Linked DNA regions of Macaca fascicularis. The protein of the gene in region 5 binds, or shares a complex with, the protein of the main gene of each other region. Links are inferred from orthologs where the notes say so. Each region holds a gene or a part of one and is shown on either strand. Other genes may lie near its edges.

The links.
Region 1: MED26 (region 5) and MED4 share a complex: the UniProt entries of both Homo sapiens proteins name them as parts of the mediator complex. The link is inferred for Macaca fascicularis from reciprocal best matches to the Homo sapiens genes MED26 and MED4.
Region 2: MED26 (region 5) and MED1 share a complex: the UniProt entries of both Homo sapiens proteins name them as parts of the mediator complex. The link is inferred for Macaca fascicularis from reciprocal best matches to the Homo sapiens genes MED26 and MED1.
Region 3: MED26 (region 5) and MED20 share a complex: the UniProt entries of both Homo sapiens proteins name them as parts of the mediator complex. The link is inferred for Macaca fascicularis from reciprocal best matches to the Homo sapiens genes MED26 and MED20.
Region 4: MED26 (region 5) and MED18 share a complex: the UniProt entries of both Homo sapiens proteins name them as parts of the mediator complex. The link is inferred for Macaca fascicularis from reciprocal best matches to the Homo sapiens genes MED26 and MED18.
Region 6: MED26 (region 5) and MED12 share a complex: the UniProt entries of both Homo sapiens proteins name them as parts of the mediator complex. The link is inferred for Macaca fascicularis from reciprocal best matches to the Homo sapiens genes MED26 and MED12.
Region 7: MED26 (region 5) and MED13L share a complex: the UniProt entries of both Homo sapiens proteins name them as parts of the mediator complex. The link is inferred for Macaca fascicularis from reciprocal best matches to the Homo sapiens genes MED26 and MED13L.

Annotation. Positions count from the first base shown.
Region 1 is NC_088391.1:27,212,684-27,216,759, forward strand, and holds the start of MED4 (mediator of RNA polymerase II transcription subunit 4), read right to left. Parts: upstream 2,801-4,076; 5' UTR 2,775-2,800; coding exon 2,650-2,774; intron 1-2,649. UniProt on the Homo sapiens protein: Component of the Mediator complex, a coactivator involved in the regulated transcription of nearly all RNA polymerase II-dependent genes.
Region 2 is NC_088390.1:60,453,143-60,456,642, forward strand, and holds part of MED1 (mediator of RNA polymerase II transcription subunit 1), read right to left. Parts: intron 592-3,500; coding exon 1-591. UniProt on the Homo sapiens protein: Component of the Mediator complex, a coactivator involved in the regulated transcription of nearly all RNA polymerase II-dependent genes.
Region 3 is NC_088378.1:129,647,993-129,652,065, reverse strand, and holds the start of MED20 (mediator of RNA polymerase II transcription subunit 20), read right to left. Parts: upstream 2,801-4,073; 5' UTR 2,700-2,800; coding exon 2,686-2,699; exon of another isoform or gene 2,063-2,685; intron 1-2,062. Other genes in the region: BYSL (bystin), read left to right, coding at 3,242-3,509. UniProt on the Homo sapiens protein: Component of the Mediator complex, a coactivator involved in the regulated transcription of nearly all RNA polymerase II-dependent genes.
Region 4 is NC_088375.1:206,730,028-206,734,010, forward strand, and holds the start of MED18 (mediator of RNA polymerase II transcription subunit 18), read right to left. Parts: upstream 2,801-3,983; 5' UTR 1,860-2,800; coding exon 1,797-1,859; intron 1,578-1,796; coding exon 1,439-1,577; intron 1-1,438. UniProt on the Homo sapiens protein: Component of the Mediator complex, a coactivator involved in the regulated transcription of nearly all RNA polymerase II-dependent genes.
Region 5 is NC_088393.1:16,962,135-16,966,246, forward strand, and holds the start of MED26 (mediator of RNA polymerase II transcription subunit 26), read right to left. Parts: upstream 2,801-4,112; 5' UTR 2,544-2,800; coding exon 2,472-2,543; intron 1-2,471. UniProt on the Homo sapiens protein: Component of the Mediator complex, a coactivator involved in the regulated transcription of nearly all RNA polymerase II-dependent genes.
Region 6 is NC_088395.1:77,818,866-77,822,936, forward strand, and holds the start of MED12 (mediator of RNA polymerase II transcription subunit 12), read left to right. Parts: upstream 1-1,271; 5' UTR 1,272-1,430; coding exon 1,431-1,529; intron 1,530-2,048; coding exon 2,049-2,153; intron 2,154-2,360; coding exon 2,361-2,552; intron 2,553-2,688; coding exon 2,689-2,845; intron 2,846-3,659; coding exon 3,660-3,841; intron 3,842-4,015; coding exon 4,016-4,071. UniProt on the Homo sapiens protein: Component of the Mediator complex, a coactivator involved in the regulated transcription of nearly all RNA polymerase II-dependent genes.
Region 7 is NC_088385.1:122,913,782-122,917,281, forward strand, and holds part of MED13L (mediator of RNA polymerase II transcription subunit 13-like), read right to left. Parts: intron 2,911-3,500; coding exon 2,749-2,910; intron 188-2,748; coding exon 75-187; intron 1-74. UniProt on the Homo sapiens protein: Component of the Mediator complex, a coactivator involved in the regulated transcription of nearly all RNA polymerase II-dependent genes.

The DNA.
Region 1 (4,076 bases), on a different chromosome or scaffold from region 5:
ACTGGGGAGAGGAAAGCAAAGTGAGGATATAGCAGCCAGGTGGCTAGGGGTAAGATTATGTAGGACCTTACAGTTATGGTAAAGATTAATGTTTCGTTCCATATTCAATGAAAAGCCACTGGATCATTTTAAACAGGGAAAAGGCATGACCTGATTTACACTTTTAAAAACTGCTGAGCGATTTGGTAAATAGACTGTAAAAGGGCCAGAACAGGTGGTTTTTGTAGTGTTCCAGGCAAAAAATGACTGGTTTTGACTAGGTCATAGCCTCCAGGACTTAGTAATGGTGATGGGAGAAACATAGACAGATTTCAGATATCTTTTGGAGGTAGAGCTATCAGGACTTGCTGATGGATCAACAGTGTATGAAAACAGCATGTTACGTAAACTTTTTCGTGTATGCCACTGAGACACAAACTGTTGAGAACCTCTAGTCTAAGTAAAAGCTGGTTTCAGGTGGGGCAGGGGTGGTGCTGACTGGAGTGGGGCTATGGTAGGAGATGTGGGATAAGCCTTCCTCTGTTCTTGCAAATCTGGGAGTATGAGTCCACAGAAGGCTTTACAAGGCTTGCCATAGGCACAGGAGTACAGGTGAGGTAGAAGTCTCTGACACAGGAGTAGAGGGGAGGTAGAAGTCTCTAAGACTTAGTCATGTTCTGTAACAGTCCAAGACGAAGTAGAAACCTCTGTCCTCCCCATTTGTGAAAAAGAGGCCAAAGGAAGGCCCATACTCACTCTCTGGTTAAAGATGTGGAAGTAAGAGCCCTGTCCTGCTACAAGGAAGGTGCATTCCTGGCATACTGCATTAGAATCCAGCCACAATTCCCCATAGAAATAAAATTTCCATAGGGGTTAGAGCCTACATTATTAGTGGTAATACACTTTTCAGGTAAAGAGAATTAACAGGCTGGTGTGGAAACCTCAAGACTCCTATCAACATGATTCCGTGAGTTTTCAGTTACAAACGGGTTAAGAAAAACGTTTAGACTACAACCTGTGTTTCAATTGTTTAAGACTGTCTCCTTGCATTACATTTTACAAAGTAATAAATATCCTGAAAGGGTACATAATCAGGTTAATAGAAAAAAAAAAAAGATCCTAAGTTATAAATCCACTATTTTTTAAAGCCAAGAGGCTCAACCTAAAAATATGTAAGGTACATTCGTGAATTTTCTTCTCATTTCCATAAATGCAAGCCAGACACAAATTACATTCAGAGACTGACAAATTACACAGATCACAGAATCAGCACACATAACTATGTCTGAGTGAGCACATGAGACTTTTCTGGAAGCCAGTCACACCACCAGAGCAGCTTCATTCTGTGAAGAAATTCCAATGATCCGCTCGCCTCGGCCTCCCAAAGTGTTGGGATTACAGGCGTGAGCCACCACACCCGGCCATAATACAGTTTATTTTAAACAGTGGATCAAACACATAAGTCATTTAATTTCTGGAGTCTATTTGTTTTAGGGTTTTCTTCCATCATTAAATATTGTGCTGACCTGGTAACTTGGTAGCAATACTATGGCAAGGACTAAATTTACACCAAAGATAAAGTGCTGATTATATCAGGTATATTTTAAAATACAACAGATAAGATTTATTCTAAAGTTGTCAAAGAATGTTGGCTACAGAAAAAGTGACATTTGGGCTGGAATCTGAAGGATATATGAATCATTCACCAAATCGGGGGAAGATTGGGAATGGCATTGAAGATGTGGAAGCCTGACTAAAGAATTTGAACTTTACCTCACTGGACAACGCAAATCTACCAATGAGGTAGGTTTTATATCATTTTTCTGCAGAAAAGTAATATAACATGCCTTTTAAAACTGATCTTGGCCAATATAAAAGGATACAGTGCAGAAGCATGAGGCAATTAAAACTGGGAGGCTGCATTTAAGAGTAGTTATGAACAGTGGGGTAGGAACGAGAGGACAAATGTGAGCAACATTTTAGGAGGTAGAACCAAGATAATTTACCATCCACGTCAATGGGAGGGAGTCAAGGAAGGCTTCAACTTGACTTATCATGAAAGGTGACAGAATATAAAGAATGACATTTAATTTCATCTCCTATCTCTGATACAAAACTTGCAACTCCACCAAGCCAGGCTTTTTGCACTTGCTGTTCCATCTACCTGTGCTGCCTAGTGAGTCTGGCAAGCTCACGCTTCCCAAACAGCCGTTTCTTCAGAGGGCCTGCCCTGATTACAACCAGAAAAGGTGCCTAGCCCCTGTGCTCCAGTACCCCGCAGCGCAGCGCTCTAATAAAAACAGGCTTCAAGGCAGTTTACACATCTGTCTCTCTCTCTCGACAGCCGGCATTCAGCCTACCCTGCACTACTGTCTCCCTAGTGCTTGGCACCCAAGGGGCGTTCCATAAATGTTAAGTGGCTGGCTGTGGACGAAGGGGCTCAGACCGCGCGAGTTCTTATCATTACTAAAATTCCCTCTAACGGGAAAAACCGCCGTCCAGAGTGCTGGAAGACTGCGGACCCCACGTCCGTGACCCTGGTGCACCCGAAACTCCCGAGCTGGCCCTCCCCGCCGAACCCCGAGAACGAGCACAAACGCTGGGCCGGCCGGCTCCGGGGGTCAGTCCCCCGGCCTAGCTCCAGCCCGGCTCTCAGGATCGCAGCATTACCTAGACAGGACCTCCAAATCCTCAAGCGCAGACAGTAGCCGCTCTCGTGTGCTGTTACCACTTGCCACTCCCAAGCCGCCTCCCAGCCTCTCTTTCTCCTTCTCACCACTCGAAGACGCAGCCATTTTCCTCACAGCCCCGCCGCCGGCGCACGCGCTGAGCGCGCTGACGCAGGGGCGTGGCGAGGAGGCGGGCTCGGAAGGCGGAAGAGTCATCCAGGAGAGGAAGAAGAGGCCCGGCGAGGGCGCCCCCTTTGCGCCCGGAGGGGCGCACTGCGGGCACCGGCGCCATCTGCTGGGCCAGCGAGGGCTTTTGGGTCCAAACCCTGGGAGCAAGGGCTGAACTGAGAACAGGGAGTGCAATGCAGTCTGATTCTCCTGGGCCTAATGTTTTGTTTTTTCTTTCTTTTCCTTCCTTCCGCAGTCTGATTCTCCTGGGCCTAATGTTTTGTTTTTTCTTTCTTTCTTTCCCTCCCTCCCTCCCTCCCTCCCTCCCTCCCTCCCTCCCTCCCTTCCTTCCTTCCTTCCTTCCTTCCTTCCTTCCTTCCTTCCTTCCTTCCTTCCTTCCTTCCGTCTTTCCTCTTTTTTTGAGACGAGTCTCGCTCTGTTGCCCAGACTGGAGTGCATTGTCGCAATCTCGGCTGACTACAACCTCCGCCTCTCGGGTTCAAGATATTCTCCTGCCTCAGTCTACCGAATAGCTAAGATTACAGGCGTGTGCCACCTCGCCCGGCTAATTTTTGTATTTTTAGTACAGACAGGGTTTCGCTATGTTGGCGAGGCTGGTCTCGAACTCCTGACTTCAATAGATCTGCCCACCTCGGCCTCCCAAAGTGCTGAGATTATAGACGTGAGCCACCGTGCCCGGCCCTGGGCATGATGTTTTTCAAGCAGCAATGAGAAGCTTCTATGAAGTGGTTTTTAAGACTTTGAGGGAATCACATAATGGTCTACATTATTATAAAAGACGGTCGGGGACTGCCTGACTCCCATGAGGCAGTCGTACCTGTGGTCCTTTCATTTCATGGTCTCATCCTCTGCTCTTTTTGGAGGTGCTAAACTTGACTCCTGGGCACCCAGAGTTGACAAGTCTTTCAGAAATTCGTGTTAAATAAACTCACTCATAGCGGCCCTGCGCGGTGGCTCAAGCCTGTAATCCCAGCACTTTGGGAGGCCGAGATGGGCGGATCACGAGGTCAGGAGATCGAGACTATCCTGGCTAACACGGTGAAACCCCGTCTCTACTAAAAAATACAAGAAACTAGCCGGGCAAGGTGGCAGGCGCCTGTAGTCCCAGCTACTCGGGAGGCTGAGGCAGGAGAATGGTGTAAATCCGGGAGGCGGAGCTTGCAGTGAGCTGAGATCCGGCCACTGCACTCCAGCCTGGGCGACAGAGCAAGACTCCGTCTCAAAGATAAATAAATAAAT
Region 2 (3,500 bases), on a different chromosome or scaffold from region 5:
GGTGGTAATCTTGATGACTTCTTTTTCTTGGTCTTGTTGCTCCCCGAGCATATTTCCATCCGGGGTGAGCCGGAAGAGGAGTTCTGCCTTTCTAAAGGGCTGCTTCCATAAAGGGTTGAGAAATCCTGGGCAGGATTATCTTTAAGAAGGTTCATGAGCATCGGGTGGTTCTTGGTGTTGCCGGCCATCGAAGAGACAGGTGGCGGCGTGTGATGAGGAGGGGTCGGACTCGAGCCAATGGTAGACCCCCCGTTCCCTGTGATTTGCAACAAACTGGTAAGAATTGGGTTCTGAGACACCTTGCTGAAGTCCTCCCCATGGCCCACCGACTCATGCCGATCTTTGATGCTCATGCTCATATTAAACAAGGTGGTAATGGGACCCCCCGGAAAGGTGTTGGTTGGTGTAGTGGTACCACTCATTGGGTTGTTGCCTGTGGTCATGCCATACCCTGGGCTGCTAGCCGGGGGCAGGTTCTTTTTCACCATGTCTTCAACTGTCTCTGCAATGAGGGACAGTGCTGGGGTGTCGGCCTGAATGGTTTCAGCTTTCCTCCGAATAGCCCTCATCGTCACAGGGATGGACATACATCTGCAAGATAAGGAAGAAAACAAAGTTAATATTTCAATAGCTGCTGAATGAGACCTGAGATTTAGATAAACCATCAGAGTTCTGCAGTAAGCAGTTTCCAGGTAGGGCAAATCGTATAAGGCAAAAATAGTTCTATCAAATACCAGAGCTTTGGGTAAATACATTATAAAAATCTAACCCAACATAAAATTGTCAGTCTCTTATGAATCACACAACAAAAGCAAACTATAAACAAGAGTCCAAATAATTGAATTTCAAACTGAACTAAAAGAAAATTGGTAATAATGGAACTCAGAAAATGCCTCCTTAGGGGCCAGTCGCAATGGCTCACGCCTGTATTCCAGCACTTTGGCAGGCTGAGGCAGCTGGAACATGAGGTCAGGAGATCGACACCATCCTGGCCAACATGGTGAAACCCCATCTCTTTTTTTTTTTTTTTTTTTTTTTTTGAGACGGAGTCTTGCTCTGTAGCCCGGGCTGGAGTGCAGTGGCCGGATCTCAGCTCACTGCAAGCTCCGCCTCCCGGGTTTAGGCCATTCTCCTGCCTCAGCCTCCGGAGTAGCTGGGACTACAGGCGCCCGCCACCTCGCCCGGCTAGTTTTTTGTATTTTTAGTAGAGACGGGGTTTCACCGTGTTAGCCAGGATGGTCTCGATCTCCTGACCTCGTGATCCGCCCGTCTCGGCCTCCCAAAGTGCTGGGATTACAGGCTTGAGCCACCGCGCCCGGCCAATGAAACCCCATCTCTACTAAAAATACAAAAATTAGCTGGGTGTGGTGGCACGTGGCCTGTAATCTCAGCTACTTGGGAGGCTGAGGCAGGAGAATTGCTTGAACTAGGGAGGCGGAGGTTGCATTGAGCCAAGATCATGCCACTGCACTCCAGCTTGGTGACAGAGCAAGACTCTGTCTCAACAACAAAAAAAAAAAAAAAAAAAAAGCCTCCTTAGGTCAGGCGTGATGGCTCACTCCTGTAATCCCAGCACTTTGGGAGGTCGAGGCGGGTGGATCACTTGGGAGTCAGGAGTTTGAGACCAGCCTGGCCAACATGGTGAAACCGTGTCTCTACTAAAAATACAAAAAATTAGCCAGCCGTGGCGGTGTACGGCTGTAATCCCAGCTACTCAGGAAAGGGAGACAGGAGAATCACTGAAACCCAGGAGGCAGAGGTCGTAGTGAGCCAAGATCGTCCCATTGCACTCCAGCCTGGGTGACAGGGCAAGACTCCATCTCAAAGAAAATGTCTTCCTTGGGGGCTTCATATGGCAATTACAAGGATACATAATTTATTTTAATTAAGGAACCATTAGAAAAATCTTGGCTGGTCAGAGTGGCTCACGCCTGTAATCCCAGCACTTTGGGAGGCCGCAGCAGGCAGATCACAAGGTGGGGAGTTTGAGACCAGCCTGGCCAACATAGTGAAACCCCATCTCTAATTAAAAAAAAAAAAACACAAAAAAAATTAGCTGGGCGTGGTGGTGGGTGCCTGTAATCCCAACTACTTGAGAGGCTGAGGCAGGAGAATTGCTTGAACCCAGGAAGCAGAGGTTGCAGTGAGCCGAGATCACACTACTACACTCCAGCCCAGGTGACAGTATGAGACTCTGTCTCAAAAAAAAAAAAAAAGAAAAATCTCTTGACCTATCAATTTCTAAACCTTACTGACTTAGATCCCAAACCTACACCTGTTATAAAAAGTGCTATTTGTTATAAATCTTATTTTAAAGCAAAGCACTTATTTTCCAGATAAATTTATATTCATAAACCTCAGTTTGCAAATGTTTTGCTCTAGAACATATGTCAGCAAATTTTTTTTCTTTTTTTTTTTTTTGAGACGGAGTTTTGCTCTTGTTGCCCAGGCTGGAGTGCAATGGCACGATCTCGGCTCACGGCAACCTCTGCCTCCCAGTTTCAAGTGATTCTCCTGCCTCAGCCTCTCGAGTAGCTGGGATTACAGCCATGGACCATCACGCCCAGCTAATTCTGTATTTTTAGTAGAGACAGGGTTTCTCCATGTCAGTCAGGCTGGTCTCGAACTCTTGACCTCAGGTGATCCGCCCACCTCCCAAAGTGCTGGGATTATAGGCGTGAGCCACCACACCCAGCCAGCAAATTTTTCTTTGTTTTTTTTTTGAGATGGAGTCTCGCTCTGTTGCCCAGGATGGAGTGCAGTGGCACGATCTTGGCTTACAGCAACTTCTGCCTCCCAGGTTCAAGCAATTCTCTACCTCAGCCTCCCAAGTAGCTGGGATTACAGGAGCCTGCCACCACGCCCAGCTAATTTTTGTATTTTCAGTAGAGATGGGGTTTCACCATCTTGGCCAGACTGGTTTTTAACTCCTGACCTCATGATTTACCCACCTTGGCCTCCCAAAGTGCTGGAATTACAGGGGTGAGCCCCCACACCCGGCCACAAATTTTTCTTATAAGGTCATGTAGTAATATGTTAGGCTTTGTACGTCACGTTTCCTGTTCACCTACTCTGCAATATTACCTAGAAATCTGCCACAGACATGTAAATGAACAGCAGTGTTCCAATAAAATTTATTTACAAAAATAGGCTGCCAGACCTAGCTGTAGAAAAATCTCACAAAATTACTTATTAATGGTTCTGGGATGCATACTGGCTTAACTATCTTTCATGCAACAATTAAGTTGGCTTTTTATTTGAGATGGCATCTTGCTCTGTCTACCAGGCTGGGGTGGAGTGGCACAATCTCAGCTCACTATAGCCTCTGCCTCCCAGGTTCAAGCAATTCTCCTGCCTCAGCCTCCTGAGTAGCTTGGATTATAAGCACCTGCCACCACACCTGGCTAATTTTTGTATTTTTATTTATTTATTTAGTTTGTTTGTCTTGAGACAGAATCTCACTCCATCACCCAGGCTAAAGAACAGTGGCGCGATCTCAG
Region 3 (4,073 bases), on a different chromosome or scaffold from region 5:
AAAGATCAATTTAAAAAATTAATAAACAATAGTACAGGCAGTACTTAGCTATATAGAAATCAAGAAAACAGTCATAGATGACATTGCTTTATGATCAACTAAATGAATCTATTAGGGTAGAGTCCTTCTGTTGCTAAAAATTGTCACTACTCTATCAGAAAAAGCACTGATAAACAATGTTGCTAATGTGCCTTATGTTGAAATATAAAAGAATCCCTAAACTGACGCTACAAGGGACAGAAGTCCTAGGATTCTGAAAACGTTGATAAGGGTGCCAACAGAGAGCCCTTGCCCTGGAGCTGCCTTCTCCATTTATTTATTTATTTATTTATTTATTTATTTTTTTTTTTTTTGAGACGGAGTCTCGCTCTGTCACCCAGGCTGGAGTGCAGTGGCCGGATCTCTGCTCACTGCAAGCTCCGCCTCCCGGGTTTACGCCATTCTCCGGCCTCAGCCTCCCGAGTAGCTGGGACTACAGGCGCCCGCCACCTCGCCCGGCTAGTTTTTTGTATTTCTTAATAGAGACGGGGTTTCACCGTGTTAGCCAGGATGGTCTCGATCTCCTGACCTCGTGATCCGCCCGTCTCGGCCTCCCAAAGTGCTGGGATTACAGGCTTGAGCCACCGCGCCCGGCCTGCCTTCTCCATTTAAAAAGCAGGGGTGGCTGGGCACGGTGGCTCGTGTCTGTAATGCCAATACTTTGGGACACCAAAGCAGGAGGCTCGCTTGAGTTCAGGAATTCAAGACCTGGATGTACAAAACAGCAAGAACCCATTTCTATTTATTTAAAAAAGAGCATGGGGTTCCAGGGTTCTACGCTGCATCCTTTCTATTTCCATCCCTCACATATCTTGCTTCCATTAAGGAACACAGGAGGATCATGATGTGAACTGTGGGAAACAAGAGTGCAATCACTGAGAAACCTGCAAGAACCTGGGCTACCAGGAGGAAAAGTATTTCCCCTACACATGCTTTTGTATGAGAAGCCTATAGCCACTGGCTTCAGATATCCTGGCCTCTGGGTTTCTCCCACGGGGAAAAATGCTCACATCTACTGAGATAAGAAAAAAATGTTCTGGGACCTGGCACCTTACAACTAACGCCTCCACAAGCACTGGACCCATACCTTTCCCTGCTACCTCATCTTCTTCCAACGGAGACTTAAAACCTATGAAAGATAAAAACTCCTCTGAAACTAGACTAACCATGGAATTAAACATAGTGGGAAACGGGTCCTAAAGAGATAAAGTGCCTGGAACCATGATCTCCTTATTTTCAATAGCCTCTTTTTCCCTCTGGACCCAAGATCTTAAAATGGGCAAATTAGAAACAGACACAAGCTGGTCTAACTGCATTTGATGGCTGAGGGAAGGGTAGGCAAAAATCTTGGCCGGTCGCGGTGGCTCACGTCTGTAATCCCAGCACTTTGGGAGGCCGAAGCGGGCGGATCACCTGAGGTCTGGAGTTCGAGACCAGCCTGACCAACATGGAGAAACCCCGTCTCTACCAAAAATACAAAATTAGCCGGGCGTGGTGACGCATGCCTGTAATCCCAGCTACTCCGGAGTCTGAGGAAGGAGAATGGCTTGAACCCGCGAGGCGGAGGTTGCTGTGAGCCGAGATCGCGCCATTGCACTCCAGTCTGGGCAACAAGAGCGAAACTCCGTCTCAAAAAAAAAAAAAAGAAAGAAAGAAAAAGAAATAAAGAAAAATAAAGAAAATCTTTAAAAATACTGTTTCCTGATTGCTTATAACACACTCCCTCTAACCCTGTCTGCAGGTGGGTCACAGTCCAAAGACCCTATTTCCAACCCTGACGTCCCATTGCGGGCAGTACTATGGCCTCACGGGAAGGAAAATAAATCTAGAAGGGAATGAGGTACACAACCATTGATAGGTTCCTGGGATAAAAACTTTGCTTTGTCGGCCGGGCGCGGTGGCTCAAGCCTGTAATCCCAGCACTTTGGGAGGCCGAGACGGGCGGATCACGAGGTCAGGAGATCGAGACCATCCTGGCTAACACGGTGAAACCCCGTCTCTACTAAAAATACAAAAAACTTACCCGGGCGAGGTGGCAGGCGCCTGTAGTCCCAGCTACTCGGGAGGCTGAGGCAGGAGAATGGCGTGAACCCGGGAGGCGGAGCTTGCAGTGAGCTGAGATCCGGCCACTGCACTCCAGCCTGGGTGACAGAGCGAGACTCCGTCTCAAAAACAAACAAACAAACAAAAAAAAAAACAAAAAACTTTGCTTTGTCGACACCAGCCTGGCCAATATGGTGAAATCCCATTTCTACTAAAAATACAAAAAATAGCCGGGCGTGGTGGTGGGCGCCTGTAGTCCCAGCTACTCGGAAGGCTGAGGCAGGAGAATCGCTTGAACCCAAGAGGCGGAGGGTGCAGTGAGCCAAGATCGCACCACTGCACTCCAGCCTGGCGACAGAGCGAGACTCCGTCTTAAAGAAAAAAAAAAAAAAAAAAAAAAAACTTCGCTTTGCTTTCCCGCCTTCCAAGAGGAAGGGGCGCATCTCCGAGGAAACAAGGCCGGGGAACCCGCGGCTCGCACGGCATCCTCTCATCCACACAACCCGAGGACAGCTCCCAGGGGACGGCGGACCACGGTCAAGGTCCTCTTTTCGGCCCTTCACAACTCCAAGCTCCGCCCTACAAAACCCCCTGCAGTCCTACCAAGTCACTCCCATGGCGTCGGGCCAGGAAGGCGGCCGGATCACACGGTAGAAACGCAGGGTTCCCTATCCGCCCACAGAAACTGCTTCAGTTCCCCAACACAACCTTCGGTCTCGGAAGAGACTCCGGAAATACGTAAAAACAGAGCGCCGGGTCCACGCCTTCCCCAAGGAGTGGGGCGGGTCTCAGGGCCCCTCGGTGACACCTCTAGTGACATCATCTGCGGATTCCCGCCCACAGGTTTCTAAATCCAGACATTCTCGTTTGGCTGAGCACTCTAGGCCTAGACCCATGAAGCTAAGAGCGACACTCAAAGACTGCACTGTTGAGAGAAGCTAACGTTAAAGGCTGTAAATATATTGGGGAGTCCAGCACCGGAACCCGGGAGCTCTTTTAGTGGGAGGGGCGGCGCTGATGGCGCTTCTGGCCTCCGAATGCTAGGGGGCGCTGTGATCGCCGCGTGGCCTCTTGAGAGCCGGGAGTCCACCGCGCAAGCGCAATCTGGCTTTTTCGCCGTCTCCACGTGCGAACCTCCGCGGCAACGTTTTCGAGAAAAATGCCCAAATTGAAGGCGGCCCGTGGGGTCGGGGGTCAGGAAAAACATGCGCCCCTGGCCGATCAGATCCTGGCTGGGAATGCGGTGCGGGCAGGGGTCCGGGAGAAGCGGCGGGGTCGCAGGACCGGAGAAACGGAGGAAGAGTATGTGGGACCCCGGCTGAGCCGGCGGATTTTGCAGCAAGCACGGCAGCAACAGGAGGAGCTCGAGGCCGAGCATGGGACTGGGGACAAGCCCGCGGCGTCGCGGGAACGCACCACGCGGCTGGGTGAGTGTCTGGGATGAGATCCGAGGAAGACAGTGGCCAGTAGTGGGGCGGGGTGGACAGCTAAAAAGTGTCTGGCAGGGGAATTGCTTCGAGTCAACAAAGGGTCCGTATTACACTTGCAAAAGTAATGGAATGGGAGACTGAACCCTGTTCAGAGCCCTCCGCGTCCACTCCTAGTTTTAGGCACTCCCTTCTACACATCCCCTAAGTTAGGCCAACAGTAATCGCTCGCTCCACCCTAGCATTTATCCATTGGTTTTGTAAATATATATGGGATACCCACTACGAGCTTTGTACTATGCTCGGAGTTCTATCGAATGTTTGGGTACAGAAGTAAACAACATAGGCACGTCTGACTTAAGGACCTTACAGTCAAGCCCAGTAGAGAGTCAATTAAGTAGACTCTTAGAATAATATTTTTCTATGATAAAGTGTCGCTTCCCTGGTAACAATAGCATTGGTCTTGAGAAGCTTCTCCGATTGCAGCAGGACCTTTTAAGTTGAGAACTGAAAAACGAATGGGAAGTGTTATGAGCAGAAAACACATTGTTTAGCAGCCAAAGA
Region 4 (3,983 bases), on a different chromosome or scaffold from region 5:
CCTTAGCCTCCCAAACGACTGGAATTACAGTCATAAGCCTGTAATAGCTGGCTTGACATACATTATTTTTTAGTCATCTTTCTCCCTCCATGGCTATGGCTCAAATGTTTGGAACATATTCAGATACTTGTTGACAAAATCTGGCCTGGCGCAGTGGCTCACGCCTGTAATCCCAGCACTTTGGGAGACCAAGGCAGGTGGATCACCTGAGGTCAGGAGTTCAAGACCAGCCTGGCCAACGTGGAGAAACCCCGTCTCTACTAAAAATACAAACATTAGCTAGCCATGGTGGTGCACGCCTGTAACCCCGCTACTTAGGAGGCTGAGGCAGGAGAATTGCTTGAACCTGGGAGGTGGGGGCTGCAGTAAGCTGAGATTGCACCACTGTGCTCCATCCTGGGCAACAGAGTGAGAATCCATCTTAAAAAAAAAAAAAAAAATCAGAGAAACAGGACCTAGAAAGATAGCTGCTGAGGGTTTGGCATAGAGGGGAGTGGGAATTAGTGTTTAAGGGGTAAAGAGTTGCAGTTTTATAGGATGATAAACAAGCATTTTAGGCTGGGCGTGGCGGCTCATCCCTGTAATCCTAGCACTTTGGGAGGCCAAGGCAAGTGTATCACTTGAAGGCAAGAGTTCAAGATCAGTTTGGCCAACATAATGAAACTGCAACTCTCTACTAAAAATACAAAAACTAGCCGGGCATGGTGATGCACGCCTGCAATCCCAGCTATTCGGGGGGCTGAAATACAAGAATCCACTGAACCGGGAAGTGGAGGTTGCATGAGCTGTTATCATGCCACTGCATTGCAGCCTGGGTGACCGATCGAGACTCTGTCTCAAAGAAAAAAACAGTTGTACTAAGTATTTTTTCAAGCTACTCACAATAAACCAAAGTTCTAAAGATCTGTTGTTCAGCAATGTTAATATACTTAACAATACTGAACAGTACACTTAAATATGTTAAGGTTTTTTTTTTTTTTTGAGACAGAGTCTTGCTCTGTCGCCCAGGCTGGAGTGCAGTGTTGCGATCTCGGCTCACTGCAATCTCCGCCTCCCAGGCTCGCACCATTGTCCTGCCTCAGCCTCCCAAGTAGCTGGGACTACAGGCACCCGCCATCACGCCGGACTAATTTCTTTCTGTATTTTTAGTAGAGACAGGGTTTCACCGTGTTAGCCAGGATGGTCTCAATCTCCTGACCTCGTGATCCACCCGCCTCGGCTTCCCAAAGTGCTCGGATTACACGCGTGAGTCACTGCACCCGGCCAAGATGGCAGATTTAATATGTTTAGTGCATGTAAAACTGTAATTTAAAGTAACAGTTAAAAACATAGTTGGGTGCCAGAAACTGTGCAGGCTGCTTTTGTGTTGTCTCTCATCTTAAGGGAAGCTGAACAGAGAAGAGGAAAACAGGTAATCCAAGTTCCCTGGTTCACTTACCCTGCAATAGGTACTCCATCATGTTAATGGTGCCCCCAGTGACAGGCATCATGGTGACTGGAGGTGCCTCCATGGTGTCTAAGTTGAAGACAACACAACTGGACTCAGAGCCCCCAGTCAGGTAAGGCACGGGATATACCTGGAAAAGAGTTCACTTGTTTATACATCAGAGTAGTCGAGAGAGACCAAATCTGTTGTGGCACTGGCCTTCAAATCAAAAGATTCATTCATTTAAAAACATTTCAGTGTCTTACATGGCCAGTTCCAGGAACTGATGATACAGAAATATAAAAAGGAGATCTGGTCATGGAGTTACAGCATTGCCTTCTAGTCTCAAGTTCTGAAACCTCCAAGTTACCTGTGCAATCTTGAGAAAGTCCTGTCTATAACCCCTCACCCTGGGACTCAATATCTTCCTCATAAAATGAGACCAGCAATTTTTTTTTTTTTTTTTTTTTGAGACAGAGTTTCACTCTTGTCGCTCAGGCTGGAGTGCAATGGTGCAATCTCTGTTCACTGCAGCCTCCGCCTCCCAGGTTCAAGCGATTCTCCTGCCTCAGCTTCCCGAGTAGCTGGGATTACAGGCACCCACAACCATACCCGGCTAATTTTTTTTAATATTTTTAGTAGAGACAGAGTTTTGTCATGTTGGCCAGGTTGGCCTTGAACTCCTGGCCTCAGATGATCCTCAGGTGAGTGGGCCTCCCAAAGTGCTGGCATTATAGGCGTGAGCCACCACGCCCAGCCAAAGGCCAATGATTTTTAACTCCCAAGGTTATGTGGCTCAAACGAGATAATAAAGAGGCAACAAAATTCAGAAGAACTGAAAAGTGTCTTAAGGGACCTTCATTTTTACAGATGAGGACATTGAGACTCAGAGAGGGACAGGATACACACAGCAACTTGGTAGCAGAGTTGGGACCAAACTAGAATCTAGGCATTCCATCGCTCTGAAAATGCCTTTCCCCCATACCCTTTTCTTTTTTGGTGACAGGATCTCGCTCTGTAGCCCAGGATGGAGTGCAGTGGGGGAGTTCCTAGTTCACTATAACCTCGAACTCCTGGGCTCAAGCGATCCTCCCACCTCAGCCTCCCGAGTAGCTGGGACTACAGGAGGGAGAGTCACTGCGGCTAGCCTAAAAATGCCTTTTAAAGAGAGCCAAGGCCAGGCGCGGTTTCTCACACCTGTAATCCCAGCACTTTGGGAGGCCGAGGCTGGCGGATCAACCGGAGGTTGGGAGTTCGAGACCAGCCTGACCAACATTAAGAAACTCCGTCTCTACTAAAAATACAAAAAATTAGCTAGGCCTGGTGGCGAGCGCCTGCAATCCCAGCTACTCAGGAGGCTGACGCAGCAGAATCGCTTGAACCCGGAAGGCGAGGTTGTGGTGAGCTGAGATCGCGCCGTTGCACTCCAGCCTGTGCAACAAGAGCGAAACTCCGTCTCAAAAAAAAAGAGAGAGCCAAGAGGAAGTTATTTTAAAATGATGGTATATAGGTCCTTCTAAGCCAGCATCCACAACACGTGTCCACTTAAACACTAGAAGCACACCTCCTTGAGGCTCTAGTGTCTTCTCGAGAAGTCGGGAATTATATGCACCCGCGCACCTAGGAGCCTTTGAGCGACGATTAGATCCCAGTCCTCCGGTTACCGGAGCCCGGGAAGCCCCCAGACCGGTGCAACCAGCCAACTTCCTGCTCTTCTCACTTCCGGTCGGAAGCCGAAGTCTCACAAACCTCGAAACTGCCGTTCCCAAACGTATGGGTGCCGAGAAGGCCGAAGAGCGTCATTGCGGACAGACAATCAGAAGCGCATGCGCAAAATGCCGGGCTGCTGTAAGAAAGATGGCGGCCTCCTTTGGAGCTTTCCTCCGGGGTCTACCTGGCGCCTTGACGTCACAGGCCATCCTCTAGGAAAATATTTTTAGGTTTGACAACCTGGAGATGTATTTGTGCAGAAAGTCTCTTGGAACTGATAGGACTTACAGAGATTATAATGGGCTTAAAAAGAAAAATGAACTGAGGGCGCGGTGGCTCACGCCTGTAACCCCAGCACTTTGGGAGGCCGAGGCAGGTGGATCACTTGAGATCACGAGTTTGAGACCAGCCTGGCCAAGATGGTAAAACCCCGTCTCTATTAAAAATACAAAAATTAGCCGGACATGGTGACACGCGCCTGTAATCGCAGTTACTAGGGAAGTTGAGGTGGGCGAATCGCTTGAACGTGGGAGGCAGAAGTTGCAGCGAACCGAGATCGTCCACTGCACTGTAGCCTGGGATACAGAGAGAGGCTCTGTCTCAAAAAAATAAATAAATAAATAATAAATAAAAATTTAAAAGTCTGGAAAAGGAGTAGGTCCAGATCCAGGAGTACTCTGCAGTGCCAGACTAAAAGAACACGTGTGAGCTTTAAAAGAACCCTGGTTGCAACATGGAGAAAAGTTTGGGAAAGGAGAGAGCCTAGAGAAAAATGACCAGGCGGGACATGGTGGCTCAGGCCTGTAATCCCAGCACTTTGGGAGGCCAAGGCGGGCAGATAGCTTGA
Region 5 (4,112 bases):
GCTAAGTTTGTTAACCATAATTGCATGCCCATAAAGGTAAGCATTACATGACACAATTCTCTGCCGCTTCTCTCAGAAGAGGTTTAATTTTAGTGTTGGCTCTTCAACACTGTCCCCGTTTTTTTTTTTTTTTTCCACGAGCATCTTAAATATGTGTCAACTAAATATCCAGTAGTGGAATTCATCATTGGGCAGGGCAGAGAGGAGAGACCGGCACACCGGCAGCACCTGTGCTGGAGCCACCTGCTCTCACCTGAGCCCACATTGATCCGAGAGAAACTGCAGACACACTGACATGCCCAGCTCTCACCACCACCTCCGCCAGCAAACCCCGTCCACTGCAGCTCTGTTTCTGCATGGTGTTTGCTCAAAGCGAACGGTCCTGTCAAACGGCCCATAACAGCGCTCAGAGGATCAATCACAAAGGAGGCACTTTCCTCATTGCTCATAATCAAGAAGATAATTTCCCAAATCCATCCACCCCATGTTAGTAGGACTCTGCCCAAGATCATCACCAAAGTCCTTGAAAATAAGCGATATGAAATGCAAATTCCATGTCAGGTAACATAACCAGGGACCTATATAACATTTCTGCATGAGCTGAGACACACAAAACTAAGATTTGTTCCGTCCTCTTTTCTTCTGCCTCAAGGAACCCTTTTGATTAGAGCCTTACACAATACTGGAAACTGTGAGGTCACTGGAGTGACCTAATCTACAACACTGTGATCGCCTGTCAAAGTGCCGCCTGATCCCAAAGCTCTCTGAGGTGGCATTAAGGATCAGTGCTAATATCTCAGCAACCTCTCAGACTCTCCAGAAGGAAAGCGAGTGCGTGAAATTCAAAAAATTACCTTCTGGCTCCACAAAAGATGTACAAGTCACCAAGGCTATTTTTTTCATGTCACTAGTTTTATCCTCTAATATTTCAATCTTAAAATTGCAGTGGCACCAGTTACTGCAAAAAGGACATTCGAGAAGGTTTTATATAGCTTGTGCCCACTCCACCCCCAAAGTCATAACAAAAATGTATAATATAACATTTGTTAAAGACAATTACCATCAAGTCAATGTTAATGGGACCTGAATACCAGGGATAAGAGAAGTACTTATATCACAGCAAAAACAGGGCCTTAGAAAAAAACTCATAACCCTTCAATCTTACCAAAAATTGTATAAGTCAACGTGAATTATTCCAAAAACATCATCAGAGTTAAGCATACTGCTAAGAGTAATCAGCCAAGCTCATGTAAAACTACAAGTAAAAACCCCTACGGTGAGAGAAACCTGAGTTACCTGGCCAAGCCAAAGATGATTTTTTTCTTCCATTCACAGCATATTAAAAAGTGATCTCAATGGCCACTTCCTGGGAAGCAGGGCCTCACTTCATACCTGGATGCTACTGCATCTTCCCACCGCCCTGCTCCTGCCGCGGGAAGTATGACCCCTACTGCCAAGAAACTCTTGGAGAAAATATGAGAATAGATCAGTCTTCCCACCCCCACCCCACCCCCGCAACAACACACATACACACACACAGATACACAGCCACACATACGGAGGGGGAAGGGGCGGTCCCTCCGCCAACAGTAGCCTCAGCAAAGGGGCACCCGAGGAAGCGACACCCTGGAGTTAACCCTGACAGTCTGGGTCAATAGCCACCAGGCTGAGACCCCCAGGTGAGGGAAAGAGCCTACTGAAACAGGGCTCTTGGGTAAACGGGAGAGAAAAGTCCTCTTTAATTCACTACCCAAAAAAATGGAGCTCTGGCTTGGTCAGAGACGCAATGGGTACTGAGGCCCAGAAAGGCAACAGGAAGGATCCCACCCTCCCCGAAATCATCTGTCGCTGGCAGCGACCCCAAGAGGGTTTTGGCGAAGGCGTGTCCAGTCACAGAAGGGAGACAGACTCTCCACGTACCCTGGGTACCCGGCCAGGGGCAAAACACACTGGGGGTTCTCTCCGAAGCCAGGAAGGTGCTGCCAGCCGGGAGGAGGGGGAAGGACTTCTCTCATAACCCAGAAGGCTAAGACATGGGAGACACAGGCTCCCCGAGTCATACCCCGGACACCAGTTGCTTCACAGCCCTTCTCCCTCCCCTCCCCCGCTCCGGGAGGGCTTCCCGGGGGTCTCAGGTCCCGGAGGGAGGGCGATGCAGGGCAGCTTCGTCCAGAGCAGTGAGGGTCATAGAGCTGGAGCAGAAAGGGGAGATAAACTCTACCCTTAGCCCCCCGTCTGCTTCCTCCGCCCAGGCCGCACGGAAGCCTCGGCCTCACGTACCAAGCGCTGCCGGGCTGCCCGACCTGCCCCCGGCCCGGGCCCGAGGAGTGAGAGGCAGAGATGGCAGCGGCCCTCGAGGGGAGGTGGGCGCCAGACGGGTCCCCCGAAGCCCGGTGGGCGAGGGGGACAGGAGAGGGGGAGGGTCCCAGGCCCATGCGGCCTCCGTCCCAGCTCGCGCGGCGGGTACTTACGTTGCTCTGGGGGTCGATGGCCTGCAGCAGCCGGTCCCTGATCTGCTGCGGAGACGCCGGAGCCGCTGTCATTGCCTGGGCGAGGCGGGGGTTGCGGCCGGGCCAGCGGGCGGGCGGGCTGAGGCGGGGGACGGGGGTCACTCACTCGCCGGCCTCCGGGAGCCGGAGCCGCATGTTCCCCGCGGCGCCGGAGGGTTAGGTGCGCGCGGGGTGGCGGAGAGGGGAGCCGGGGCCGGGTCTCGGTCCCGGGCCGCCGCCGCCACCGGAGGAGGAGGAGCCGCCGGAGCCGCCGCCGCTTGCTGCCGCCGCCTCGAGAACCAAACTCCAGTGAGCTGCCCCCGCGCGGAGTACTCTGGGTAGTCCGCGCCGCACGCAGCGTCGGCGCCACGCTGAGGAGGTTGGGAGATGGGACGGGCGGAGACGCCAGGCATGGGCGGGGCTGCCCGTGCGCCCCGCCCCGCGCCTCCGCGCACGCGCGCGCAGGCGCACTCACCCGCCTGTGCCGCCCCGCCCCGCCGCCCGGCCTAGGCAGCCGTTGGGAGGAGGTTGGGCGGGGCAACGGTCGCTGCCTGGAGACCCCGCCCCCGCCCGGGTCGCGGGGCGGGGCTTTCTGACGGAAGCGCGCGCGCAAAGAGTCCTTGAACCCGGACGCTCGCGGCGGCTACCTCAGGGCAGGGAGGGCGGCGGGAAAATCCTTCCTCTAGGAGAGCCTTCCCGGCGCGTGACTGGGGGATGAGAGTCGCAGGCTGAGCAGCTGCCGAAGTTTTTGTGAGGGCGAGGGAAGCAGACGTCCACGTTGTGATTCTGCGCACGGAAGGGTCATCGGAGGAGTCCAGGGGTGTCGCCGCGGCCGCCCCCGCCCCTTAGAGAGTGTGGGAATGGGTGTGGTGACGGGCGGGGGTCTGCATCGCCACGCGCGACCCCGATCGCGAAAACGTGAGGCGGCAAAGAAGCCGCCCCCCGTAGCTGGGAACGCTGGAAAGCCGGAGGTTGCAAATCTGCGTCTACGCCGCGGCTTCTCCACCTCGGCGCCACTGGCATTTGGGCGATATTGCTCTGTCGTTGGGGCGGGTCCCGCGATCTGTCGAAAGTTGAGCGGCATTTCTGGCCTCAGAAGCGCCCCCTCCCCCAGTCTGCAGTCATTGCCGCCATCCCTTGTTGGGGCACAGTCCCCCCGCCCCGCTACCGGCAGAAAACCCCGTGATTGAAAGACCCTTCTACCCGCCTCTGCCTGGAGGTGCTGTAAAACTGAGATGCTCATTCTCTTAACCAAACACGTCACAGGAGGAAACGGAGGCCCAAGGTCACCTAGACTTCGGGGTTAAGCCCAGAACCGCAGGTGTCAAGTTTAAGGGCGCCCCTCCTCCCTCCACCCTACTTATTGCCTTCTGTAATTGCTCCCCTCTCTCTGGGAACTCTGTTGGAAATGCTGTTGTGAGACGGGGTGGAAAGGCAAGCTCGGCGGCCTCGGGAGAAATCTTTTTTTTCCCCACTGTTACAGGAAGACCTAGATTTAAAACAGGAGGAAGACGGCTGATGAGAACCACATGTGTGCCTTGGCGCTGCCTGGCACCTGTTAGTCTTGTATTTGTTGTGCTTCTGGGAAATGTTTTCATTTGCAAAAACGGCTGCTTCTGCACG
Region 6 (4,071 bases), on a different chromosome or scaffold from region 5:
TCCACCCGCCTTGGCCTCCCAAAGTGCTGGAATTACAGACGTGAGCCATCGCTCCCGCCTTGAATTACTTTTTCTTTCCATTGTGATTCAATAGCATTTTATTTTTGTTACTGGTGTTATTTTTGTTTATTGTTATTTGCTACTTTTGTTATAGCACACTGGCTGTCTTTTCTCTAGAAGGCAATACAAGGCCGGCACAGTGTCGCACGCCTGTAGTCCCGGCTACTGGGAGGCTGAGGCAGGAGGATCGCTGGAGTCCAGGAGGTTGAGGCTGCAGTGAGCCGTGATCGCGCCACTGCACTCCAGCCTGGGTGACAGAGGGAGAATCTGCCTCAAAATAAATAAACAAATAGCAATACGACAATAGGATATTGGCTCTGGAATTGAGAATCTTAGTGCCAGCTCTGTTACTCAGTAGCTGTATAATACTGGGTAAGTGAATTTTCACACTTTGAAAACCAGCTTCCTCATCTGCAAAATCGAGCCAATAATAAACCCTAACTCATGAGGCTGTGAGCAGATTAAAGGAGATAGTGTCTGAAAAGCATCTGACACAGTAGGTGCCTCTTTCGCTAGACCAAGGGTTCTTAACCTGGAGTTCATGGACCCTTAGGGGATACATGGATGAGCTTCAGGGGATCTAAGAATCTAAAGTAACATTTTGCATGTCAATATATGCATATTATTATTATTTCTGGGAAGAAGGTCCATAGCTTTCATTAGCACCTTTAAGGGTTTGTGAATCAAAAAAGTTACTCTGCGGTACCCTTGGGCAGAAAAAACAAACAAAAAAGGTTAGACAACTCGATGGTAGACCTTGAGGGATTAGAGCCAGCCTTTCAGGGTTTAATAGGTTCTTTCTCATGCATACGTAGTTTCTAATGTTCACAATAGCCCCTTCAAGGAGGTGTTAGCGCACCTATTTTTCAGATGCCGGAACTAAGAAACGAACTGATTTGTAATAGACGGAGTTCCTAACCAAAGCAAATGTTATTGAAGACTTTTCTAGGCCAAAACCGAGCTAGGCTCTGGGAACCGAATTCCAGTCAGAACTCAGCACCACAGAGGCCTCCCTCTTCCCTGGTTTGCATCCCCAGCTCACTCGGCGCCTCCGGAACGTTTCATAGATTTTTGCTGAGTGAAATCAACTTACCGCCGCCGCCGCCGAAAAACTCCCGGGGCACAGAGCTCCGCCCCCACCGGGCCAGGCCCCACCCCCTCTGCGGTCGGTATTGTCCGATGGTTCCCGGCGTCCCTCGGCTTCCCTCGGTAGTTTCCGGCAATGGTCGAGAGTTTCTAACGTGCCCCCTTGTTGTCTCTCGGCCGCCGTCCTCTCAACCACCGCCCCCCTTTTCGGCTCCCTCTCCCCCTTCCCGTTCCCCCAGTCAGCCTGGCCCTGCTGGCGCCTCCGGCGCTACGGGCTGGGCAAGATGGCGGCCTTCGGGATCTTGAGCTACGAACACCGGCCCCTGAAGCGGCCGCGGCTGGGGCCTCCCGATGTTTACCCTCAGGACCCCAAACAGAAGGAGGTGCGTTCGAAAATCGGGGCTCTGGAAGGGCCGGGGGCACGCGGTCAGCCTAGGAGGAGGCATTGACGTCTGGGAATGGGGGGCGGGGCGGTTCGGTGAGAGCGAAAGTCCCGAAAGGGGGAAGAGTAAAGTGGGCTGGCGTGGGAGGGCAGGACGGGGCGCGGTGGGGGGTTCCAAGGTATGAATAGGGGGTGGTGTAGGGGCCGCACCAGAAGCGCCCTCCTCCACACACATCTCAGAAAGTTGTCTGAGACAGCTTGGTGGGGTACGGCTGCTCGGATGTTCGCAAGAGAAGAGTGATGTTTGAGGGCGCCCTGGGTGATTGGGAATCGTAGTGACCATGGGGGTGACGGTGGGGTCCAAGTGAATGTAAGGGCCCAGCTTTAAGTAACGATCTGTGCTACACGGAACCCTCCTCCTGCCCTTTCACCTTGTTCCTTCGCTTCTCCTGCCCTACTCTCCCATCCCCTCCCCCTCCCGCTAAGGAAAAAACAACTAAACGCCGCTTTCCTGCCTCAGGATGAACTGACGGCCTTGAATGTAAAACAAGGTTTCAATAACCAGCCTGCTGTCTCTGGGGATGAACATGGCAGTGCCAAGAACGTCAGCTTCAATCCTGCCAAGGTGAGACAACTCTGCCAGGCTGAAGGAAAAGGCTGGAAGAATCTGAGAAGGAGCAAAGGCCCTGGGTAGGGAAGACTTATAGGGACAACCTAAGTGGCTGAGTTTGCCTTCATGACCTAATGCTGTCTCATTGGCATTTGCCCAGCAAAAGGCAGGCCACCTGTCTGCCCCTTCTTCCCACCCTGAGGTACAGTTTTCTTCCCTCAGATCAGTTCCAACTTCAGCAGCATTATTGCAGAGAAGTTACGTTGTAATACCCTCCCTGACACTGGTCGCAGGAAGCCCCAAGTGAACCAGAAGGACAACTTCTGGCTGGTGACTGCACGATCCCAGAGTGCCATTAATACTTGGTTCACTGACTTGGCTGGCACCAAGCCACTCACGCAACTAGCCAAAAAGGTAAGGTACTGTTTCCTGTCCTTCAGGCCAAGGAGGGAGCATAGGGTACCAAGTATCCTCCTATTCCCATATTAAGCTACATGGGTGTCAGCTCATGGGGATAATAGAGACCTCACTATTTGCAATGTCCATCCAGGTCCCCATTTTCAGTAAGAAGGAAGAAGTGTTTGGGTACTTAGCCAAATACACAGTGCCTGTGATGCGGGCTGCCTGGCTCATTAAGATGACCTGTGCCTACTATGCAGCAATCTCTGAGACCAAGGTTAAGAAGAGACATGTTGACCCTTTCATGGGTGAGTAACTCCTAACACCAGGTGTACGGCTGATGGCTTCAAGGAGGGATAGAGACACCCTTGCAAACATCCTCCTTCTTAATCTAGATTCCTTGTTTCTGCTTGTTTCTTGCATTTGCTTGATCAGTAAACACTGAGAAATTTGAGTGTCTACTGTGCACATATACTGGTCTACAAAAACGTCCAGTGCATAATCTCTGCCCCTAGGATACTAGTAGTCTAACAGGGCTGCTAAGGTATATGTACAAATAACATAATTAAATATAGAAGGTGGTGAATGTCAGGCTAGGAGCAGAAGGTTCTTTGAGTGGACAAAAGATTACTTTCTTATGGGGATACCCAGAAAGGCTTTAGGAAGGTGGGATTTGACTAGAGACAAAGGATGAACTGAATTTACAAATATGGTGGGTGATTGGGAGTGGGGTAAGGTATTCTAAGTAGAAGGATATTCTTTTTTTTTTTTTTTTTTTTTTTTTGAGACAGAGTCTTGCTCTGTCACCCAGGCTAGAGTGCAGTGGCAGGATCTTGGCTCACTGCAACCTCCACCTCCCGGGTTCAAGTGATTATCCTGTCTCAGCCTCCCAAGTAGCTGGGATTACAGGTGCCCACCCCTGCGCCCGGCTAGTTTTTGTATTTTTAGTAGAGACGGGGTTTCACCATCTTGGCCAGGCTGGTCTCGAACTCCTGACCTCGTGATCCACCTCAGCCTCCCAAAGTGCTGGGATTACAGGCGTGAGCCACCGCACCGGCCAGTAGAAGGAAATTCTAAGCAGAAGGATAGTATCAAATAGCCCTTTTTCCCTGTTTCCTCCAGAATGGACTCAGATCATCACCAAGTACTTATGGGAGCAGTTACAGAAGATGGCTGAATACTACCGGCCAGGGCCTGCAGGAGGTGGGGGCTGTGGTTCCACGATAGGGCCCTTGCCCCATGATGTAGAGGTGGCAATCCGGCAGTGGGATTACACTGAGAAGCTGGCCATGTTCATGTTTCAGGTAGGGAGTAGGGCATGCTGTGTGGGGCATTAGGTTGAGCCTGAACTTGTACTCTGCCAATAGAGAACAGAATCTGCTTGCCACCTTGCCCCAGTTGTGGTTCTCTTCATCTTTTCATTTACTTTATCTGCTTCATCTCTAATAGTCCCCTCTTCCCTCCCCTGGTACCCATAGGATGGAATGCTGGACAGACATGAGTTCCTGACCTGGGTGCTTGAGTGTTTTGAGAA
Region 7 (3,500 bases), on a different chromosome or scaffold from region 5:
AACACCTTGCAAAGACAACAGTAAAGGAATATCATTTCAAACTGCACTGCTATGATGCCTAGGTTGGTATCTACCTTAAAACATCAGACGTAGTTTTGGAGTCAAGAGGGTGTGGAACCCGCTGAGAATTCCTGGCAGGCAGAAGTTCGTCTGTCTGTGCTACTGAAATGTGGTGATGCAGCGAAGCCTGGTGAAAAAACAAAGGGAGTTACCTCTCTGGTCTAGACAATCACAGTGCAGAAGTGAGGGAGGCCATGTCTGCCAGAAGCAGATGCTCCCAAAAGTCCTTAGAAGTCAGAGTTTCTATGAGTCTATAAATTTTAACCTGCTCAGTAACCCCCAAGGTAATCCCAAGTAACTTCTCATCCTAGGGTTGGGGGGGGTGGGGAGGCAAACTTTTTGGGCTTTTTCGGTCTGCTGTATTTTGTTTCTTCAATGGAAATAGTCTAGCACACACAAAAATACTCTAATATATTATAAGGTCCCATGAATTGATATCACCAAGATGTAACAATTATCAATATTCACCACTTTTTTGTTTTCATTCTTCTGAATTATTTTAAACAAAACACAAATATTACCATCTCTACAAAACATTTAAAAAAAAAATAGCTGGGCATGGTGGTTTGTGCCTGTAGTCCCAGCTACTCGGAAGGCTGAAGCTGGAAGATTGCTTGAGCAATCTGGGAGGATGAGGATGCAGTGAGTTGTGATTGCAACACTGCACTCCAGCCTGGGCAACAGAGCAAGACTCTGTCTCAAAAAAAAAAAAAAAAAAAAAAAAAAAAAAAAAAAAAAAAACAAACCAAAAAACCCATAAAACAAATATTGTATCATTTTGCTTGTAAAACGTCAGAGATATCTCACATAAGGACCTTTAAACATAACAGTAATTATCACACAATAAAAATTCACAATGATTCCTTAATATTATCACCCCAATCACCCCATCTGCAGGATAATAAGATAATGCTCCCTTATTATCTCAAAAATGTCTTTTTATATTTGGTTTACTAAAATCATGAGCCAACATGATCTGTACGTGACAAATGATTAAAGGCACGAAATGTCTACTGTCCCACCTGAAGTAACATGATTCATCACTGGGTTCAGGTGGTACCAGCGTACTACACCCATCATAAAGTTCCTCATCAAGTTTTCACCCAATGGTTTTGGTATTACTTTATATGTAAACGAGAGGCAATATATAAATGCTTTCTCTTTATTTTTTATTTTCAGACTGAGTTGATGCTCTAGCAGTTAAAAATGACTGATTTTTTGTTTTCCAACACAATTATGAACCAAGGATTTGTTTCATTCTATCACTGTCATCATTTGTTTTAATGATCACACGGTCCCATCCTAGCCCTGGACAATCGAGCTGCCCTCTAAGATGGCTCCTGAGGCCCTGATGGACCATCATGATCTTTGGTAACTTTCTTGCTTTTAGGTGTGACAAGATGCCCTAGGTTCACTGGGAACATTTCCTGCTTCATACCTGGAATCAGTCATCTTCAAAGAACCATAGTACCTTTAAGTGACAACAGTGTGTAGGAACCACAATTGTGGCAACAGAGGTGTTTATTGCTGCTAAGCTTTTTCAGCAGACAGAGCTAAAAAAATGTGTAAACTTTTTTAGAGAGGAAAAATAAATCTACGCTCATACTGATAATTCTAATTCAAAATACAGAACACATGCATTTTTATAAACCTTCTTTGATTTTATAATAGTATGTTAAAGTCATTAGGAAAAGAACATTGCTTCACTAAGTTTTTGGTTTGATTTCCATCATTTGTTTTTGAAAATATAATCAGCTGTGTGTGTGTATATGTGTGTGAATACGCATATCTTATAGATTACTCCAAGGTAATCGCTACTCCACAGAATGATTACACAGAAATATTCTCCATTTTGTTGCAAATGATTAACATTTCACTGTCTGGATGTGCCACAGTTGATTCAATCAGTCCATCACTGATGACACTTAGGTTCTTTCTAGTCTTGGACATACGTCATTTTCTGTTTTGGCGAAGAACCTTTGGGCTCTTCCTTAGAGGTGGGAATGCTGCCCTAAAAGGGTAGTGTGTAGGGCTGTATTATTCAGCAATTCCACCAACACCAGGGCCTGCTCCCCACATCTGTGCCAACACAGTATGTTGCCAAATCTTTGTATTTTTGCCAATCTGTGGGCAAGAAATGGATTTCATTCTAGGTATTGCTGTTTTTAACACAAACTGCAAATAGGGGATCTTTTGTTTTGAACCTTTAAAATTGGGATTAAAAGGTTCCAAGAAATATAAAGGAAGGAGGAAGTGCAAATGTGCAATGTTTTTAGCCGACTCTTACCCTGCTCTAATGAAGAATGAGAGGAGTCCATGGCAGGGGAGGAAGAGGACGGCTGGTTACTATACCCTCGACGCAAGCTTAACTTTACTGATAGTGACGCAATATAGACTTGGAGAAAGACCATTACACTGAACCCCATGTACCACCCTAGATTTACCCTCTGGGCCCCACTGTCTCCTCCTTGGGCTACTGTGCTTCATTTCTTTGTGACATGGTTTTGGGTCCTCCTAAATTCTACTCTCCACCTACAACTGTAAAATTTCCTCAGAGTGTAAGTAGATACAAGAGAAAAAAGGAACAGAATAAGATTATGATGCCTAAAACTGAAATTTCTAAGCAAAATTAAATTTAAGCATAAATCACTCATTCCTTGCAAACTTCTAATATGATACCAAACCAACCTTTAAGAAGAGAGGGCACTGGTTTTGAGCCTGGGGACACGATGACCAAAACCACTGGGGAAGATTCTCAGCTTTGGCAGTTGATACAAAATACCCAAGGGCCAGGGGCTGCTGCTTTAGTTCCTCTGGTGCTTCTCTAGAAAGAAGACGCTCACCCTGGCTCTGAAAAACAAAAATCCCAAAAGCATGATCAACATTTATCTGAAACCTTGAAAAACAAACTTTCGTCAGTTCACTCTGCACACTGCAGTGAGTGATCCCCTTTGTGGCAGCATCTCACAGAAAGCCACAGGTGGCTGAGAAAGGAAAGCAGGGCCGGCACTGTCTTTGCTGCACACATAGAGAAGATGCCAGCAAAGCTGACAGCCTCAGTCAACTAAGTACGGATTTATTTGCTTGGGTTTCTTTTCTATGGGATGGAAGATCAATTCCATGGCATCGTGATGGAACAAACTAAAATGGAAAGATTACAATCTCTGACAGCAGAAGTTTCTACCATACGCAGGTGCTCTTTCACCAGCAACCAACCACAGACACAAGAGCTCACCAGCTTGACCAGGACAATGTGACACCAGTACCTGCACAGCACAAATGTTCCTGAGCTGCCAGTAGTGCAAGATCTGCTCACAGAGAAGCCATGTTTTCATCTGCAGCATTCCCCTTAATAAGAGACTCCTGGAAGAGGCTCACTATGTTTTGCTGCAACTGACATTTTTCTTATCTGTAATTCTTTTAGCTAGCTTCAACAACTG